Xenopus tropicalis: one gene and its partner. The protein of the gene in region 1 purifies or fractionates together with the protein of each later gene. This does not show direct contact. Links are inferred from orthologs where the notes say so. Each region holds a gene or a part of one and is shown on either strand. Other genes may lie near its edges.

What was found.
Region 2: the proteins of atp1a1 (region 1) and hadhb fractionate together in Homo sapiens (co-fractionation; 3 studies listed by BioGRID, with this or other methods). This does not show direct contact. The link is inferred for Xenopus tropicalis from reciprocal best matches to the Homo sapiens genes ATP1A1 and HADHB.

The regions. Positions count from the first base shown.
Region 1 is NC_030678.2:1,067,175-1,077,829, forward strand, and holds the start of atp1a1 (sodium/potassium-transporting ATPase subunit alpha-1), read right to left. Parts: upstream 7,335-10,655; 5' UTR 7,297-7,334; coding exon 7,285-7,296; intron 6,266-7,284; exon of another isoform or gene 5,234-6,265; intron 5,188-5,233; exon of another isoform or gene 330-5,187; intron 100-329; coding exon 1-99. UniProt on the Homo sapiens protein: This is the catalytic component of the active enzyme, which catalyzes the hydrolysis of ATP coupled with the exchange of sodium and potassium ions across the plasma membrane.
Region 2 is NC_030681.2:154,403,647-154,414,201, forward strand, and holds the end of hadhb (trifunctional enzyme subunit beta, mitochondrial), read left to right. Parts: intron 1-333; 5' UTR 334-341; coding exon 342-396; intron 397-1,088; coding exon 1,089-1,130; intron 1,131-1,826; coding exon 1,827-1,926; intron 1,927-3,131; coding exon 3,132-3,176; intron 3,177-3,588; coding exon 3,589-3,688; intron 3,689-3,798; coding exon 3,799-3,886; intron 3,887-4,089; coding exon 4,090-4,277; intron 4,278-4,844; coding exon 4,845-5,025; intron 5,026-5,159; coding exon 5,160-5,281; intron 5,282-6,424; coding exon 6,425-6,504; intron 6,505-6,593; coding exon 6,594-6,641; intron 6,642-7,016; coding exon 7,017-7,104; intron 7,105-7,968; coding exon 7,969-8,043; intron 8,044-8,751; coding exon 8,752-8,916; intron 8,917-9,767; coding exon 9,768-9,803; 3' UTR 9,804-10,197; downstream 10,198-10,555. UniProt on the Homo sapiens protein: Mitochondrial trifunctional enzyme catalyzes the last three of the four reactions of the mitochondrial beta-oxidation pathway.

The DNA of each region.
Region 1 (10,655 bases):
CTTCTTTAACTCATCCATGTCTTTATCCTTCCCCTTTCCCTTTTTCTTCTTGCCCCCCTGCTCAGAGGTAGCTGCGGGCTCATACTTGTCTCTTCCGGCCTGTGGGGAGGAAAAAAAAAAAAAAAGTGTCAAGGGCAAGTTCACCCAATTTATTTTAATGCCTTTCCTATCAATGTTCTGCAAAACATAGGTCATTCTGTCCCTTGCCATACTCTGAGACCCCAGTGAAACAGCGCCCCTAGAGGTTCCCAACATGGCACCCAGAGATGGGTGTGCCCTTGTTTTCCTATGCAGGAAAGACACACACACACACACACACACACACACACTATGCACTGTGTAACCCAGTACAACTCGGCATTATGTTCCTTCAATGACCCCATTCACCGGCAGTGGGCGAAGCTGCCCATGTGTAACGCCTCCCTGTGTACCTATACAGGGGCAAATCTGTTTAATGGAGTAGCTTTAGCCCCACCCTCTTATAATCCTGCCTGGCAGCTCCTACACAGGGGTGGGGGCACCCTAACAGCGAGCACAGAACTTATTCCCATACAGCGGCTGTACAAAATGGCCACAGATTGCGTAAGGTACCCACACGGAGTGTGAGCGGGGAACGCCGGCTGTGCCAGAGCAGAGGGATAATATGGCTGCCAGCCGTTGCCAAAACAAACAGGAAGGCAGAAGTATGTGTCACCTCCCAGTACAACAAGGTGACGAGACAGAGAGCGGCAGAGATGCCACACTGGCAACTGATATGGGAAGGGTCGGTGCCAGGGGCCGCACAGAGACTGGGGCCCCCCCAACTGCCACCCGCCTGGGATACAGGGCATTACTAACTGGGGGGCATGCACAAGAAGTCGGGTGGTTTCCATGGCAACCCTTCTGTACCCAGAATCCCAGGTTCTAGGGCCTAGTGAATAAAGAGAGACAGGCAGGGAAAGTTGCACCCGGCCAGGGGGTACAGCGAGGGTTAATTCCGCTGCCCTCCTCCTCCGGCACAAGGAGGGTGCGTGTGGTGTCAGGTGCTGTGGGAACAATGAGCCATAGATAAAAACAAAGCAGATCCACAGAAACCTGAGCTGGGAAAAGTGCAGGGTAACACAGGGGATTATGGGAGGAAGGGGCAGCCGGGATGGGGGGGTATTATCTGATATACAGGGCCCCAGAACATTATAAATACTCCCTGCTATAAACTGCATGGCACATTAACCCCTTCTCGCCTGGCCTCTCTCCTTCCCTAGGATAAAGAGACTAGGGTTTCCCACACTGAAACCTGAGCCATGGGGGGGGGGGGGGGAGCTGAGGTGTCTATAAATGTCACAGTGAGACAGCAGCGGCAGGACAGGAAGGGGTTAATGAGTCAGCGAGGGCCCAGCCCCTCCCACAGGCAGTTGCACAATGCGGCAGTCAGTGGGTCTGGGAGGCACTTTCCGTAAGGCAGAGCGGCACCCCCCCCCACCCCTAATATGCTGCACCCCCCCTGTCAGATATAGGGGGGACTCCAGAGGCAAAGCCTCCGTATCCCAGCATGCAATGAGAGAACAGGGGGGACCCCAGAAGCAAAGCTTCCGTATCCCAGCATGCAATGAGAGAACAGGGGGGCCCCCAGGAGCAAAGCTTCCGTATCCCAGCATGCAATGAGAGAACAGGGGGGCCCCCAGAAGCAAAGCTTCCGTATCCCAGCATGCAATGAGAGAACAGGGGGACCGCCAGAAGCAAAGCTTCCGTATCCCAGCATGCAATGAGAGAACAGGGGGGCCCCCAGGAGCAAAGCTTCCGTATCCGAGCATGCAATGAGAGAACAGGGGGACCACCAGAAGCAAAGCTTCCGTATCCCAGCATGCAATGAGAGAACAGGGGGGCCCCCAGAAGCAAAGCTTCCGTATCCCAGCATGCAATGAGAGAACAGGGGGACCGCCAGAAGCAAAGCTTCCGTATCCCAGCATGCAATGAGAGAACAGGGGGGCCCCCAGAAGCAAAGCTTCCGTATCCCAGCATGCAATGAGAGAACAGGGGGGCCCCCAGAAGCAAAGCTTCCGTATCCCAGCATGCAATGAGAGAACAGGGGGGCCCCCAGGAGCAAAGCTTCCGTATCCCAGCATGCAATACTACTTATACTTATATTGGGGAGTGTGCAGAATACACAGTAAGTACCATCTGCACAGATAGTCGGGGGGGGGTGCAATACGGGCCCCTTCCCACACAACAGGTGCTCAAACAAGCGGCACAGCATTATGGGAAGGAGCTGGAACATGATCCCAGTGAATACTGGTGCTCTAGAACAGCCCCCTAAGGGCCACCCACCCTTCCCACACTGTCATGCCGAGGCACCCGGGGGTGGGGGGACCTACAGCTGAATAAAGAGACAAACCCTCCCCCCTCCCATGGGATATAGGGCCACTGACAGCCGTAGCCCAACACAACAGCCCTAGCAACAGCAAGCCATAAAGATACCCAGTAGCCTAATCATTAACTGCCGGCTCTATAAACCCCTGCACTGGGGATCATAATCTGACCCCTACTGATGCCCCAGCTCTAGGGAGGAGAATGCCCACCCCCCAGGTATGGGGCTTCCCTAAGATTAATGGGCCAGCCCCGGCCTACATTCACGGCAGCACTTACAGAGCCGAGCTGGCCCCCTGGGACGGTACAGTAGCCGCAGTGACCCCCCCCAGTTAGTTATTGATGGGCTCAGCGCTGCTCTCATTACATCTCCAAGCTAAGGGGGGGGGGGGGGGGGGCTGTATCCAATTAGATCTTGTGTGTAACCTAGAAAAACTGCTGAGGCTGCACAACTCCCAGCAACCCTCCAGATTGGAACACCGGGAAGAACAAGGCCATGCACGTAGTGCCCATTTTCCCAGAAGCCCCTGGGAGTTTAATAAGGCGCCAGTTACCAGGGGCACAGGATGCAGCACCAGTATTCCCAGTAACCCTCCCAATGAAGGCACAGGCCCCAGTGCCAACGACCTTGCCCAAGGACAGACGGATCAGTGACATCACGTCTAGGGCATCATGGGGCAAGGTGCTGCCAGGGTGGCAAGTTCCATCAAGCCTCTTTCCCAAGGAGGTGGCAGCAGGACTGGCACCCAGTAGGGGCAGCTACAAGCCAAGGGAGGAGTGCCAGGGCACAGGGAGTCCCAGCCAGCCAATAGGCACACAGGGATGTGCCATGGCAGAACATGGCCCCGGGGCAGGCAGATGCCAGGGACTTTATACTGGGTGTTCAGGCGGAAGGATCACACCTACATTGCACAATGTTCTCTATGGCAGGGTTTAACCCCCGATTATTACATCAAATACCCCGGGGGGGGGTGAAAGTCCAGTGAGTAATTGCCCTCCCACGGTCCGGAGTCCCTTTATGGGCATGAATATCCCCACAGCAGGCAAGGGATTATCTAATGCCACTTATCAGCCGACACCCAGCATTCATACCGACCAACTGCATAGAGAACATGCAGGAGTACAAATGTGACGGCAATGAAGAGGTTACGCCCCCTCCCTCCCCCCCCCAGGAATGCTGGGACAGTAGTAACCTTGACGTGCCAGCCTGGGCTTACGCCAGTCCCAGGAACAATGGTACCTCTCAGGCTCAGTAACTGGATCTGCCCCCCCCACCTCCCTTCTGCCCCAGTCCAAGGAAACAGAACCCGGCTAGGGGGGTACAAATCCTCCCCCCTACTGCCCTCTAAACACAGCGGCCAATTAGCTTCCCGGGCACCAAGCTGCCAGCGCCAGAGTAGATGGCAAGGGACTGCGCCAAGATGCTCCTGCAGGGAATACACAGAAGATTCCCAGCACCCCCCCCCCCCCAGTCTATAAATAACCCTCTCACCAGCAGAGTGACAGATATACAGTGTCTGGGGGGGGGGGTCACATTCTCAGGCATTAACCCCTGGCAGGCTGGATACAAGTGCTGAAGCGGTGCCAACACTGGCAATGTGTGCCAACCAGGGGGTCTGACTAATAGGCACACACTACCAGCAAGGGGGCTAATTCCTTCTGCCCCCCCCCCCACCCTTTCCACTCTGCCCTGACCCATATCATATACAACTGCCCTTAAATCTATCTGCCACCATCTTCCTTCTACAAGACCAGCAAGTGGCGGCTGGCAGTGCCAGGGCAGAGGGCACAGCAAGTGTGCCAGGGCAGCAGTCAGTGCTGCAGTAATGAAGGGAGGGAGGCCGGCGCTGCTGGGTGAAGCAGACCCTGGCACTGCCACATTGAACACAAGGAAGCTGGCTGCCATGCCGCATCCTCACAGCTTGGGGCAAAGCCAGCAGTGCCTGCCAAGTGCCGGGGTGCGCCAGCTGTATGCCCTGCCCATAATGCAGCCCCTGACTCCCCGCAGTCCTACTGACAACTCCACCAAGTGCCGCCGGCTGAACCCTAACTGTCTGGGCAGGGCACCCCCATAGGGAGCTGGGCACGGAGGGATTAACCCTTTCATGCACCAAGAGCACATCCCCCTCACACTGCTGGGTAGATCTCCCCAAGTAAGTTTGGATCATATGCATCATAGCCGCTATATGCACACAGGGGGGATGCAGTTTCCTTTGCACATCTCACTTCCTGTCTCAGATAAAGGGAGACTCCTATAAAGGAATTGGGGTTCCATGGGAGGCTGCACGGGCAATAAGGTCCCATCATGTTTGGGAATGTGCAGCAATGGGAGAACTGGTATTTCTGCACTGAGATTCCCAACAAGCAACTGCCCCGGGGCATCAATTCTTACCCCTCCCCCAGGAAAACAGAATGGAGTGTAATATAATTGGCCTCTGGAGAGGAGGGTGTCTGCCCACAACATGGCCACAAACTACTGGCCTTCTCCTAGGTAACACAGCAACTGTGTGCAAGCTCTTGGGACCAGACACCCAGTAGGAGTCACTCCCGGCTCCAATGAGCATTGCAGGAATCCCAGGGCCCAGTGTCCAGCTATGAGAATGGGGCAAAAATGGGGCAGGAATGGGGCAGGAACGGGGCAGGGAACAAATCTACATTATGCCAAGTTACCCCCATCTACACCCCCCCAGGGAAAGGGCACTCTCACTGCCCCATAACACCCACCTCCCATTAACAACAGCACAATGTGCCCCCCATACACATACGCAGGCACCCCACACTGGCACCACAAGGGGCAATTCCTACATATACAGCCGGAGCCCAGTGTATCAGTAACGCCCCACCCTGCAGTAATGCCAGTTATACCCCCACCCTGCAGTAATGCCCCAACCTGCAGTAATGCCAGTTATACCCCCACCCTGCAGTAATGCCCCAACCTGCAGTAATGCCAGATATACCCCCACCCTGCAGTAATGCCAGATATACCCCCACCCTGCAGTAATGCCGCACCGTGCCCTGTACCCATGTAACCTACCCGCACCGTGCCCTGTACCCATGTAACCTACCCGCACCGTGCCCTGTACCCATGTAACCTACCCACACCGTGCCCTGTACCCATGTAACCTACCCGCACCGTGCCCTGTAGCCATGTAACCTACCCACACCGTGCCCTGTACCCATGTAACCTACCCGCACCGTGCCCTGTACCCATGTAACCTACCCGCACCGTGCCCTGTACCCATGTAACCTACCCGCACCGTGCCCTGTACCCATGTAACCTACCCGCACCGTGCCCTGTACCCATGTAACCTACCCGCACCGTGCCCTGTACCCATGTAACCTACCCACACCGTGCCCTGTACCCATGTAACCTACCCACACCGTGCCCTGTACCCATGTAACCTACCCACACCGTGCCCTGTACCCATGTAACCTACCCACACCGTGCCCTGTACCCATGTAACCTACCCGCACCGTGCCCTGTACCCATGTAACCTACCCGCACCGTGCCCTGTACCCATGTAACCTACCCGCACCGTGCCCTGTACCCATGTAACCTACCCGCACCGTGCCCTGTACCCATGTAACCTACCCGCACCGTGCCCTGTACCCATGTAACCTACCCGCACCGAGCCCTGTACCCATGTAACCTACCCGCACATCTCATACATTGCTCCTGTGCCCCCACAGTCTCTCCCATTTTGATGCTGTCTGTCTTTACACTGCTGTCTCTCCCATGTAGGCTACTGTCACCCCCCCCCCCCCCCCCATAAGCACTGTTTCTTCCATACACCCCATATCTATACTGCTACCTGTCCCATACTGCCCCCTCACACACTACTGTCTCTTCCAGAGGCCCCCCATATACCCTGTATCTTCCCTAACCCCCCCATATACCCTGTCTCTTCCCTACCCCCCCATATACCCTGTCTCTTCCCTACCCCCCATATATACCCTGTCTCTTCCCTACCCCCCCCATATACCCTGTCTCTTCCCTACCCCCCCCATATACCGTCTCTTCCCTACCCCCCCATATACCGTCTCTTCCCTACCCCCCCATATACCGTCTCTTCCCTACCCCCCCATATATACCCTGTCTCTTCCCTACCCCCCCCCATATATACCCTGTCTCTTCCCTACCCCCCCCATATATACCCTGTCTCTTCCCTACCCCCCCCATATACCCTGTCTCTTCCCTACCCCCCCATATACCCTGTCTCTTCCCTACCCCCCCCCCATATACCCCGTCTCTTCCCTACCCCCCCATATACCCTGTCTCTTCCCTACCCCCCCCCATATACCCTGTCTCTTCCCTACCCCCCCCCATATACCCTGTCTCTTCCCTACCCCCCCCATATACCCTGTCTCTTCCCTACCCCCCCCCCATATACCCCGTCTCTTCCCTACCCCCCATATACCCTGTCTCTTCCCTACCCCCCCCCATATACCCTGTCTCTTCCCTACCCCCCCCATATACCCTGTCTCTTCCCTACCCCCCCCCATATACCCTGTCTCTCCCTACCCCCCCCATATACCCTGTCTCTTCCCTACCCCCCCATATATACCCTGTCTCTTCCCTTCCCCCCCCATATACCCTGTCTCTTCCCTACCCCCCCCCATATACCCTGTCTCTTCCCTACCCCCCCCCCATATATACCCTGTCTCTTCCCTACCCCCCCATTTACACTGCTGTCTCCCCTAACGCAATACTGTCTCTTCCCATATTCACTGTCTAACACACTCGCTGCTGTCTCTGTCACCCCCCCATACTCACTGCTGTCTCTCCCACACTGCTGTCTCTCCCACACTGCTGTCTCTCCCACACTGCTGTCTCTCCCACACTGCTGTCTCTCCCACACTGCTGTCTCTCCCACACTGCTGTCTCTCCCACACTATTCACACAGAAGAGCCAGAGGCCATGTTGCCCAAGTCCCAGCTCACCCCGTATCCCATGGTGGCGGTCTGTTCTTCGTTTCTCGGTAGAGCTCGCCTCCCTCCGCCTGACACTGAGGTCGCAACGCGCCCGGCTCCAGTATTTATACCTCCGCAGTCCCACCGACGTCACCGCCTTCGGACGTCACCGTTACTAGTGACAACAGTGCCAGCCCCTCTAGAGCCAGCCCCGCCCACCAAGAATAAGATGGAGAACCTTGCGGTGCGTTCAGGGGGATATGCGTGTCACGTGTCCGGGGCGGGGCTGAGCGTGTAGCAGGCAGGTCACATGGGGGAGCTTGAGAGGAAAGATTCCATTATGGCGCCCCTTTAGCTCGGATTCCCATCGCTTCAGCTATCAGTCTAATTAATGGAAACCTTTCCTTCTCTCTGCGGCCCAGTGATGTACATATAGTAGCAACTGGGTGTAATGAGGTGTGGGACCCTAGAATCCCTCATTGTAATACATGGATTCACTACTACATTTTATATATAAATCTCCTTAATATATATATCTATCTATCTATCTATATACACACCACTTGTGTACAGGGAGTCTAATCCCCACACAGTACAACGGGGCCATTTCCCCAGCGTGTCGGCCCCACTCTGTTCCCCACACAGTACAACGGGGCCATTTCCCCAGCGTGTCGGCCCCACTCTGTTCCCCACACAGTACAACGGGGCCATTTCCCCAGCGTGTCGGCCCCACTCTGTTCCCCACACAGTACAACGGGGCCATTTCCCCAGCGTGTCGGCCCCACTCTGTTCCCCACACAGTACAACGGGGCCATTTCCCCAGCGTGTCGGCCCCACTCTGTTCCCCACACAGTACAACGGGGCCATTTCCCCAGCGTGTCGGCCCCACTCTGTTCCCCGCACAGTACAACGGGGCCATTTCCCCAGCGTATCGGCCCCACTCTGTTCCCCACACAGTACAACGGGGCCATTTCCCCAGCGTGTCGGCCCCACTCTGTTCCCCACAAAGTACAACGGGGCCATTTCCCCAGCGTGCCAGCCCCACTCTGTTCCCCACACAGTACAACGGGGCCATTTCCCCAGCGTGTCGGCCCCACTCTGTTCCCCGCACAGTACAACGGGGCCATTTCCCCAGCGTGTCGGCCCCACTCTGTTCCCCACACAGTACAACGGGGCCATTTCCCCAGCGTGTCGGCCCCACTCTGTTCCCCGCACAGTACAACGGGGCCATTTCCCCAGCGTGTCGGCCCCACTCTGTTCCCCACACAGTACAACGGGGCCATTTCCCCAGCGTGTCGGCCCCACTCTGTTCCCCACACAGTACAACGGGGCCATTTCCCCAGCGTGTCGGCCCCACTCTGTTCCCCACACAGTACAACGGGGCCATTTCCCCAGCGTGTCGGCCCCACTCTGTTCCCCGCACAGTACAACGGGGCCATTTCCCCAGCGTATCGGCCCCACTCTGTTCCCCACACAGTACAACGGGGCCATTTCCCCAGCGTGTCGGCCCCACTCTGTTCCCCACACAGTACAACGGGGCCATTTCCCCAGCGTGTCGGCCCCACTCTGTTCCCCACACAGTACAACGGGGCCATTTCCCCAGCGTGTCGGCCCCACTCTGTTCCCCACACAGTACAACGGGGCCATTTCCCCAGCGTGTCGGCCCCACTCTGTTCCCCACACAGTACAACGGGGCCATTTCCCCAGCGTGTCAGCCCCACTCTGTTCCCCACACAGTACAACGGGGCCATTTCCCCAGCGTGTCGGCCCCACTCTGTTCCCCACACAGTACAACGGGGCCATTTCCCCAGCGTGTCGGCCCCACTCTGTTCCCCACACAGTACAACGGGGCCATTTCCCCAGCGTGTCAGCCCCACTCTGTTCCCCACACAGTACAACGGGGCCATTTCCCCAGCGTGTCGGCCCCACTCTGTTCCCCACACAGTACAACGGGGCCATTTCCCCAGCGTGTCAGCCCCACTCTGTTCCCCACACAGTACAACGGGGCCATTTCCCCAGCGTGTCGGCCCCACTCTGTTCCCCACACAGTACAACGGGGCCATTTCCCCAGCGTGTCGGCCCCACTCTGTTCCCCACACAGTACAACGGGGCCATTTCCCCAGCGTATCGGCCCCACTCTGTTCCCCACACAGTACAACGGGGCCATTTCCCCAGCGTATCGGCCCCACTCTGTTCCCCACACAGTACAACGGGGCCATTTCCCCAGCGTATCGGCCCCGCTCTGTTCCCCACACAGTACAACGGGGCCATTTCCCCAGCGTGTCGGCCCCACTCTGTTCCCCACACAGTACAACGGGGCCATTTCCCCAGCGTGTCGGCCCCACTCTGTTCCCCACACAGTACAACGGGGCCATTTCCCCAGCGTGTCGGCCCCACTCTGTTCCCCACACAGTACAACGGGGCCATTTCCCCAGCGTGTCGGCCCCACTCTGTTCCCCACACAGTACAACGGGGCCATTTCCCCAGCGTGTCAGCCCCACTCTGTTCCCCACACAGTACAACGGGGCCATTTCCCCAGCGTGTCGGCCCCACTCTGTTCCCCACACAGTACAACGGGGCCATTTCCCCAGCGTATCGGCCCCACTCTGTTCCCCACACAGTACAACGGGGCCATTTCCCCAGCGTGTCGGCCCCACTCTGTTCCCCACACAGTACAACGGGGCCATTTCCCCAGCGTGTCGGCCCCACTCTGTTCCCCACACAGTACAACGGGGCCATTTCCCCAGCGTGTCGGCCCCACTCTGTTCCCCACACAGTACAACGGGGCCATTTCCCCAGCGTGTCGGCCCCACTCTGTTCCCCACACAGTACAACGGGGCCATTTCCCCAGCGTGTCGGCCCCACTCTGTTCCCCACACAGTACAACGGGGCCATTTCCCCAGCGTGTCGGCCCCACTCTGTTCCCCACACAGTACAACGGGGCCATTTCCCCAGCGTATCGGCCCCACTCTGTTCCCCACACAGTACAACGGGGCCATTTCCCCAGCGTGTCGGCCCCACTCTGTTCCCCACACAGTACAACGGGGCCATTTCCCCAGCGTATCGGCCCCACTCTGTTCCCCACACAGTACAACGGGGCCATTTCCCCAGCGTGTCGGCCCCACTCTGTTCCCCACACAGTACAACGGGGCCATTTCCCCAGCGTGTCGGCCCCACTCTGTTCCCCACACAGTACAACGGGGCCATTTCCCCAGCGTGTCAGCCCCACTCTGTTCCCCACACAGTACAACGGGGCCATTTCCCCAGCGTGTCGGCCCCACTCTGTTCCCCACACAGTACAACGGGGCCATTTCCCCAGCGTGTCGGCCCCACTCTGTTCCCCACACAGTACAACGGGGCCATTTCCCCAGCGTGTCGGCCCCACTCTGTTCCCCACACAG
Region 2 (10,555 bases), on another chromosome or scaffold:
AGACTTCTTCCAACAAACGTTTGGATATCAATTGTACATTTATGGCGAAGACACACAGAGCTACTTGTCACAGCTACTAACCTCCAGAGAATCCCCTGCCATAGACAATACTGAGAATTGCCTCTGCTAAACACCAATAGAGACAGTTATCAGTAAATGATCAGCATTGTCTGTTTTAGTAGCTTCTACTAGTAGCTCCGTGTGTCTTCACCCTAAAACCTTTCAAGAGTCTGCCTGCACTTCCTCATGTGTTGCTCCTTTGTACATTCTACATGCTATATACATAAGTGAGAAGAATTAAGAAGTGGCTGAATGATGTTCCTTTCCCTGTAGGTTCCACAATGGCGTGCATGCTGAGACAGACCATCAGAAGCCTCCCCACGGCTTGTAAACTCTGTAAGTCTCATTTGTTTTGCTTTTTCTACAAACCAGTAATGTGTAATGTAAGGCAAAGCTGATTTATAGCGAAGGAGTGACGCTCACCTATTAGTTTCACCTTCTCTGTAATCTCTTAAAGGGGATATAAATTATATAATATGATATAAATCAGCGATCCCCAACCAGTGGCTCGGGGGGAACATGTTGCTCCCCAATCCCTTGGATGTTGCTCTCAGTGCCCCCAAACCAGGGAGTTATTTTTGAATTCCTGACTTGGGGGCAAGTTTTGGTTGAATAAAAACAAGATTTCCTACCAAATAAAGCCCCTGTAAGCTGATAGGGTGTATAGAGGCCCCTAATAGCCAATCACAGCCCTTATTTGGCTCCTCCATGAACTTTTATGGTGCTTGTGTTGCTCCCCAAGTCTTTTTACATTTGACTGTGGCCCAGGAGTAAGAAAGGTTGGGGGCCCCTGATATAAATTGATTTTAACATATTAAGGGTGTTCCTTTTATCACTTTTTTCAACTTAGTGATTTTCAATGATTACAGAGTAGCAAAATGGCAGAAAATGTTTTTGTCAAGCAACTGTACAAAGTATTTTCTGATATTTTGTGACCATTTACACTTCAATCTAAGTGCACTATGCTATTATCCTTTATTTTATAATCACCTGTATGTCACCCCTTTTATTTTGTGCTTCTTTTCCAGCTTCCAGATCCATTAGCTGCTCTTCCCATCTCCAGGCCCCAGGTAATATAGACAGAAGCCACACATGGGCATTGCTGGTAGGAGAATTTGGTTTCTTGGATATGAATTCAGTGTCTATTAGGAAGCATCATTCCACATAAGGTGGACATACCTCGCCAAGGGTGTGGATCTTCTCCCGATATCCCCACCTACGGGTGGGCGATATCGGGCTAATTCGGCCATTTGTCCCTGGGGCCAAACGATCGAATTAGAATGACTGGTATAGGTCGGTTGGTTCAGGGACCACATCAACGAGCCTATGCAGCCCCCGATCCGACTGATTTTTAAACCTGCCCGATCGATATCTGGCCAATTAAAGGCCAGATGTTGATCGGGCAGGCCCGTCTTTAGTGCCCATACACGGGCTGATAAGGTCCTAGGGGCCCGATATCGGCAGCTAAAATTGGCCCGTGTATGGCAGCTTTAAGAGTCTGTGCTCTGAGTTTCTATTCATCTGAGCTGTGCCGAGTCCGGCAGTATTGTCAGTATAAATACAAACATAGTGATAAAAAAAACTACGACAGCCAACACGGAATACAATTCTTACAGTGATGCTGTGCGCCCAGAATGCAGTGCAGCCGTATAGAGGCCATTTATGTGAAGCTTTGCAGCTCCCTTTGCTCAGCATTACATTTAAAAAGTATTGAAATATACAATTTAATTTTGCATTCCATTGTATAATCCCTTTCTGTATTTTAGCTGTGCAGGCCAAAACTAAGAAGACCTTGGCCAAGCCTGGAGTTAAAAATGTGGTGATTGTGGATGGAGTGCGGACTCCTTTTTTGCTCTCAGGGACCACGTAAGTGTTTGTTTTCTTGGAGTTAGTGTTTATATCATTCAGGCATCAGAGCGGCTTAGCACTCTAACAACTACATTTAACATAATTGTTGCTCACACTGCACAAAAGTAATTTTGCCATGTTGCCAAACAACCACGGACCAAATCACAGACCACATTAGGATGATCTTAAAGCAACACTGTCATGGGAAAACATGGTTGTTTTTTTTTTTTTTTTTCACAACCCATCAGTTAATGGAGCTGCATTGTAATCTGTTTTTCCCATGGCATTAGAATAGCACTCAGTAGTAAGAAATCCAAGTCCGGCTTGGGACTCCTCCAGTTACATGGGAGTAGGAGAAACAATAGGTTAGCTGAAAGCAGTTCTAATGTGTAGCGCTGGCTGAAAGCTCAGACTCAGGCACACTTTACTGCTGCGCTGCAAGTTGGAGTGATATCCCCCCCCCTCACCCCCAGCAGCCGATCAGCAGAACAATGGGAAGGGAGCAAGATAGCAGCTCCCAGTAGGTATCAGAATAGCACTCAATAGTAAGAAATCCAAGTCCGGCTTGGGACTCCTCCAGTTACATGGGAGTAGGAGAAACAATAGGTTAGCTGAAAGCAGTTCTAATGTGTAGCGCTGGCTGAAAGCTCAGACTCAGGCACACTTTACTGCTGCACTGCAAGTTGGAGTGATCTCCCCCCCCCCCCCCCCCCTCACCCCCAGCAGCCGATCAGTAGAACAATGGGAAGGGAGCAAGATAGCAGCTCCCAGTAGGTATCAGAATAGCACTCAATAGTAAGAAATCCAAGTCCGGCTTGGGACTCCTCCAGTTACATGGGAGTAGGAGAAACAATAGGTTAGCTGAAAGCAGTTCTAATGTGTAGCGCTGGCTGAAAGCTCAGACTCAGGCACAAGGCACTGAGATGGCGCCTACACACCAATATTACAGCTACAAATACATTAGTTGGTTCAAGAATAAAAGGTTAAATGGCAGAGGGAATTATTTGCTGTGTAACAGTGTCATTTAGAAATAAAAAGTGCCCCATAAATATCATGGCAGTGTCCCTTTAATGTTCAGCCCTGGGGTCTACAGTGAAATATGGGGCCTTGCAGAGCTGCCATGTGTATAACACAAAGCCTACATATACATATCTAGTAGCATTTTCTTCATGTGAATCAGTCACCTAGAGCTGGCTAATTATAGATATATTTTCCTCTTGCAGATATGCAGATCTGATGCCTCATGACTTGGCCAGGACAGCACTGCAGTAAGTTTTGTACTCGATAAATACTTATAAATACTTTGTGGTGTCAATTTTTTACATGACAACCCACACACCAAACTGTTGTGCTCTCAGGAAACATAATCCAAACAGAACAATGTTTTACATGTATATTATGAAATGGTTTGTGATTAGCAAAGGCCAAAGTTCAGCATGATCATTTACTTTGTAATGGAAACTTTTCCACACGGTGGAAGGGCATTAGGTTGGATTGGGAGAATTGCTGCCCTCCAGTGGTGGATGTGAGAATCGTGTCTGAGAGTCATTAGAGCGTCAGTTGTTCGCTTGGAAGACAGAGTTCTGGAGAGAAATAGGGTGGAACTAGTCCTTTAGAGCACAAGTGCAATGAGCATGGTGCAGGGAATACTGTCTTTCTTAATTTCTCTTTGCCAATTAGGGGATTGCTGCAGAGAACCAACGTTCCCCGGGAGGTGGTTGATTACATAGTGTATGGAACTGTAATCCAGGAAGTTAAAACCAGTAATGTTGCACGAGAGGTAGGTATTGCTCTGTCCTTCTGTTAATGGGAACATCTGCTCTACTTTGTCTTTTTTTTTTGTCTATAACCCTCATTCAAAAATTAAAAAATATGTATTTTGTTTCCTAGGCTGCTCTGGGGGCTGGTTTTTCAGATAAAACTCCAGCGCACACAGTCACGATGGCCTGCATCTCTTCCAATCAGGCAATGACTACAGGTAAGGCTTCAACTCTGAACTGTAAAACATTTCTCACATTTATAAATGTCCAGTATTTCACAGCACTGTGCAGTAGGGTGTTGATCTCAATCATACAAATACTATTTGGCACAGGAGCTAAAGAGGACCCTGCTCACTGGAGCTTTTTATGCTTTTCCCAGTGAGGATCATCTCATTCACTCATTTATATTTCTTTTCCACAGGTGTTGGGCTGATTGCATCGGGTCAGTGTGATGTGGTTGTTGCTGGTGGGGTGGAGTTCATGTCTGATGTCCCTATTCGTCACAGCAGGAAGATGAGGAAGACCATGCTGAGCCTTAATAAGGCCAAAACATTGGGCCAGAGGCTTTCTGTGATATCTGGAATCCGGCCTAACTATTTTGCACCAGAGGTAGCAATATACAGGGCAGTCAGGGTTTGTTTGGGAAAGGTACCTTCTCCTCCTCCTCCTCCTCCTCCTATAGTTGCTATGAAAAACCACAAAGATGTGATCAAGTGTATAGAGCAAATACTTCCAATGTCTTTGTTCTATATTGTTTGACATTTTTAATCAAAACATTAAGCACAGTGAATTTTCAGCACATTCTCTACTTATGTTGAACATGGTTGTATATTATCTTTGTCTTTTTAATGGAGAGAGATTGAGATATAGAAAATACATTTTAACGTTAGGTGAAAAAAACTTTCCCCAGCCGATCTTTGTAAGAGAATGCACACAGGGCCTTTCAACGAGGGATGCACCAAATCCAGGATTTGGTTTGGTATTCGGCCTTTCTTGGCAGGGTTTGGATTTGACCCGATCGACGGTCAAAATAGGTTTTGGTTCAGTATTTGTCTGAATCCCTTAGAATGGATTCGGGGGTTTGGCCGAACCCAAAAACTAATGACTTATTGCACTAAATAAGCTGGTGAATGCCTAGGGAGAATGATTAATGACTGTTTTTTTTAACCCCCATAGCTCCCAGCAGTGGCTGAGTTCTCCACCAGTGAGACCATGGGACATTCAGCAGACAGACTCGCCGCAGCATTTTCTGTGTCTCGGGTGGAGCAAGATGAATACGCTCTGCGCTCTCACACACTGGCCAAGAAGGCGCAGGACGCTGGGCTGTTGTCTGACGTTATCCCCTATAAAGTACCAGGTAGCACCTCATTCTCTCGCTTCCTTTCCTCTGGCTGCTAGGGAGGGAAACACAAGGGCCCCCTGGAAATTCATTCTAAACTTTCTAGAATGAATTCTCTGCATAGTTTGGGTCACAGTTGTTTTTATCAACAGGCAAACAAACGGTTGATAAGGATAATGGAATCCGTCCATCCTCTATGGAGCAGATGGCGAAGCTGAAGCCTGCCTTTATTAAGCCTCATGGTTCCGTCACTGCTGCCAACTCTTCATTTCTGGTAAGTTTTCTCCCTTGGCGATACGATATGTTTCTTGTAGTATATAATGATCTCTACAATTTCTACAACATAAGTGTGAAAAAATAATAAGAGACTAACAAAATGGTTCAAATGGAGTCCAGAAGATGTGTGGTATTTTATTTGTACCGATATGCAAGTTCCACTCCAACATATAGGCACAGAGTCAGGTTTCATATAATCCCCAGACTCAAATTGTCTTAAAGAGATACTAACACCAGAAATTCAACCATTTTTTACGATGTGGGGCCTTTATGCTTTTTATAACTTTGCCACAAAAGTATTTGCCCAATGATTTTACATTCCCTATCTGATCCCCCATGTTCCTCTATGAGGGGACGGCCATATTTGTTCAGCAGGAATCCGTTAGCATTAGAAGCTGTAACTGACAGGCTGAGAAGGGACAGTCAGGTTGGCCAAACAGTCAGGTTTTACGGTCTTTAAGTAACAATTACTTACAAAATCAACTGACCCATAGGGGACTGTTTATGCAGTTGAAAAGATGATTTTTAGTGTCAGTATCACTTTAAGGTGGCCATACAGTAAGATTTGCTCATTTGGCTCACCTTTGAATGAAGGAAATAGGGAACGTCGGAGCGAGGGGATGCAGTCCCTGATCCAATGAAAAATCAAGCCTGTCCAATCAACATCTGGCCAATTTTTGGGCTGATATTGATCAGGGGGAGACCTGTCGGAGGGCACATACACAGGGAGATAAGCTGCCAAGTCGGTCTTAATTGGCAGCTTTTCCCCCTCATCTCGTTAATAGATTTTCTTAGTTAATAAAACTCTAGTATACGTAATATGCACCTTTAGAAATGAAATAGGAGCATAGTTTAGTCTGTACAGTGTTCTGTTAGAGTACAGACAAGGGAATCTGCAGGAATCCGTACCTGTGTGAAAATAATCAGACTCTTGCACCACAGATTAACTGGCAGGTACTGAGTAATACAGGGCAAGAGGTTATGGCTCACAGAGCTAAAAGTGAAATGGTAGCAAAACCTTAGGATACACTTGTTGCTCCAATTGAGGATCTTGGGACCTGGTATTACTGTCACTTCCTGCAGAGAGCGCTAATGTGCTACTGGGACTTCCCAGTCAGTTAATGGCTTTATTGTGCTTCAGACGGACGGTGCCTCTGCCGTGCTGATCATGTCGGAGGAGAAAGCCCTGGCCATGGGATACAAGCCTAAGGCCTACCTTCGGTAAGAGCATTTTGCTTTCACTGCTGGCTTCTCTTGTTTATTTTAGAAAAGGAATTAAGTGTGTGGGGTTTGTTTTTTGTCTTTTACAGGGACTTTGTTTATGTGTCTCAAGATCCCAAGGATCAGCTTCTGCTCGGGTATGTACTGCTAATATCCAGAGACCTTCATTCTGTTTGTTTGTGCAGCTCCATTAATGGAAATAGAGCTTCTTGGTATTATACCCCCAAACAGTGTAGGTCGCTATAAAAATATATTTATAAACGGCTCATATGTAAAACCCTGCTTCATCTAAATAACCCATTTTCATATAAATATACTTGTTTAGCAGTATGTGCCATTGGGTAATCCTAAATAGGAAACTGTCATTTTATGTACTAAGGGCCGCCCCCTGGGATCATAGGATTCACAGTGCACACAAACAAGCCAAGGCACACATACATGCTAGGCCTCATCAGCCAATGAATGAACACTGTGCTTAAACCCTATCACACTGACTGCCTTTCCCGTTCCAGCCCCACATACGCTACCCCCAAAGTACTGGAAAGGGCAGGACTGACTCTCGCTGACATTGATGCCTTTGAGTTCCATGAAGCATTTGCGGTAAGCAAGTCCATTGGTTCAAACTTGTAGCCAAAATTGGCAGATATTTAATTTGGCAACATACAGCGGTGGTCCAAATCAAGGAGATCCTTACATTTAACCCTTAGACCAGTAGTTGGATCATACTTGAACTGATCCACTGTGTGGTGCCCCCTGAGGAATGGAGTCATCTACACGCACCTCGGTCACCTTCATAATATTATTCAGGGTGGCACAAAACAGAGGGGTGGTGGTTACTGGTGGCAAACTTAGGGGGCTGTTCCTGCTGAATTGTGCTTAGTACAGGGGAATCCCTATGTGCCATAGTTTTATGGTATCTCTCTGTACAGGCTATGGGCAAACTTAGGGATTCCCCTGTACTAAGCACAATTCAGCAGGAACAGCCCCCTAAGTTTGCTCATAGCCTGTACAGAGAGATACCATAAAACTATGGCACATAGGGATTCCCCTGTACTAAGCACAATTCAGCAGGAACAGCCCCCTATGTGCCATAGTTTTATGGTATCTCTCTGTACAGGCTATGGGCAAACTTAGGGGACTATTCCTGCTGAATTGTGCTTAGTACAGGGGAATCCCTATGTGCCATAGTTTTATGGTATCTCTCTGTACAGGCTATGAGCAAACTTAGGGGGCTGTTCCTGCTGAATTGTGCTTAGTACAGGGGAATCCCTATGTGCCATAGTTTTATGGTATCTCTCTGTACAGGCTATGGGCAAACTTAGGGGGCTGTTCCTGCTGAATTGTGCTTAGTACAGGGGAATCCCTATGTGCCATAGTTTTTATGGTATCTCTCTGTACAGGCTATGAGCTATTTCTGCTGAATTTTGCTTAGTACTATATGTAACCAATCCCTTTGTCCCACAGGGCCAGATCCTGTCTAATCTGAAAGCCATGGATTCTGACTGGTTTGCACAGAATTACATGGGGCGAAAGGCAAAGGTAAGTAGTTCCATATTTGTTCCCTGTCAGTTCTGAGCTCAGTGAGATCCATCACAGAAAGTTATTTTATTTTATAATCAAAATACCCTCTTACCCTCCCCTTACTGATACCCTCTTACCCTCCCCTTACTGATGCCCTCTTACCCTCCCCTTACTGATGCCCTCTTACCCTCCCCTTACTGAGACCCACTTACCCTCCCCTTACTGAGACCCACTTACCCTCCCCTTACTGAGACCCACTTACCCTCCCCTTACTGAGACCCACTTACCCTCGCCTTACTGAGACCCACTTACCCTCCCCTTACTGAGACCCACTTACCCTCCCCTTACTGATGCCCTCTTACCCTCCCCTTACTGAGACCCACTTACCCTCCCCTTACTGAGACCCACTTACCCTCCCCTTACTGATGCCCTCTTACCCTCCCCTTACTGAGACCCACTTACCCTCCCCTTACTGAGACCCACTTACCCTCCCCTTACTGAGACCCACTTACCCTCGCCTTACTGAGACCCACTTACCCTCGCCTTACTGAGACCCACTTACCCTCCCCTTACTGAGACCCACTTACCCTCCCCTTACTGAGACCCACTTACCCTCCCCTTACTGATGCCCACTTACCCTCCCCTTACTGATGCCCTCTTACCCTCCCCTTACTGATGCCCTCTTACCCTCCCCTTACTGATACCCTCTTGGGGCATCTCTTACAGGTTGGAGCCCCTGCTCTGGACAAGTTTAACATGTGGGGGGGCTCGCTGTCGCTGGGACACCCGTTTGGAGCCACAGGTTGCCGGCTGGTCATGGCTGCTGCCCACAGGCTGAAGAAGGACGGAGGGCAATACGGCCTTGTGGCAGCGTGTGCGGCAGGGGGGCAGGTACAGTACAGCTAAAGCCATTTCCTATAGGAATCTGTGCTCTTATAAATAAGTAGATCCGGCCTTGCTGAATGGCCTTATGTAACAGAACTAGGGATGCACCGGATCCAGAAGGATTCAGATTCGCCCAGATCCATGTTCCAGGCCAAACTGAATCAAAATTCTTAAAATCACATGTCTTTTCATTACATAAAGTTAAAAAAAAGCTCTTTAAAGGGGCGGTTCACCTTTACGCTGTTAGTATGTCATAAAATTGGCTAACTCTTAGCAACTTTCCAATTGGTTCTTATTTATTTGTTATAGTTTTTTAATTATTTGCCGCCTACTTCAAACAGTTGTGGTGCCCGAGGCCGCCACCATTCGCGTCCTTCCCTGGATGTGCATTTATGCTGCCCTAGGCCCGGGCCTTTATGGCCTCCCCACAAATCTGGGCCAATCTGTGAGGCTCCAGTTTTATTGTTATTGTTACTTTTTGTAACTTTTTCTATTCAGCCCCTCCCCTATTCATATATCAGTCTCTCATCCAAACCACTCCCTGGTTGCTAAGGTACCTTGGACCCTAGCAACCAGATAGCTGAAAATAAAATAACTAAAAAACTACAAATTAAAAACAAAGACCAATTGCGAATTGTCTCAGAATATCCCTCTCTACATCATAATGAAAGTTAACCCAAAGGTGAACACCTTTGTTAGATACAACAAAGAATTTGGTTCCGTATTCGGCTGAATCTTTCAGGACGGATTCGGGGTTCAGCCGGATGCCAGTGCACCCCTAAACAAAATTGGACATTTTTATATTAATCTTCATTTTGTTGTGATCAATGTGTAACCAAACCCTCTCTGTGCTGCAGGGACACGGGATGATCGTGGAACTTTACCCCCAGTAACGTGACACAAACCCATCGGACTCGTTATGGCTGACGCCAGTTTCCTGCACTAATTAACTGAGAAGGTCCCCTCCCCGTCGCCAAGAATGTCGCAGCACTGTAAATATTTTCTAGTTGCCTTGTCTGTGATTGGAATGAGTAATTGGTTTTCCAGAGCACTTGGTACGTCCCAGTTTGGAACGACCCATTGTGCAAGCTTAGTGCTGAGCTCTCCAGCTCCTGGGCTGCTCGTCTGTTTCGATTTGGCAGAGCTGAATCCTGTTAGACTTTGTGTTTAATAGACTGTAAAGCACTTACACCCAATGTACAGTCAGTGGTAGAATCAGCTGCAGCCACTTTACCAACGGGGGCGTTGCTACCGGCCCTTCTGCCTTAATAAACAAGATCTTCACTACTTGTCTCTGTCTCATTATGAAATGGTAATCAAAGGGCAAAATGATTTTCCACCTCTTTCCCATTTCTAAATGACACTGTTACACAGCAAATAATTCCCTCTGCCATTTAACCTTTTATTCTTGAACCAACAAATGTATTTGTAGCTGTAATATTGGTGTGTAGGCGCCATCTCAGTGCCTTGTGCCTGAGTCTGAGCTTTCAGCCAGCGCTACACATTAGAACTGCTTTCAGCTAACCTATTGTTTCTCCTACTCCCATGTAACTGGAGGAGTCCCAAGCCGGACTTGGATTTCTTACTATTGAGTGCTATTCTGATACCTACTGGGAGCTGCTATCTTGCTCCCTTCCCATTGTTC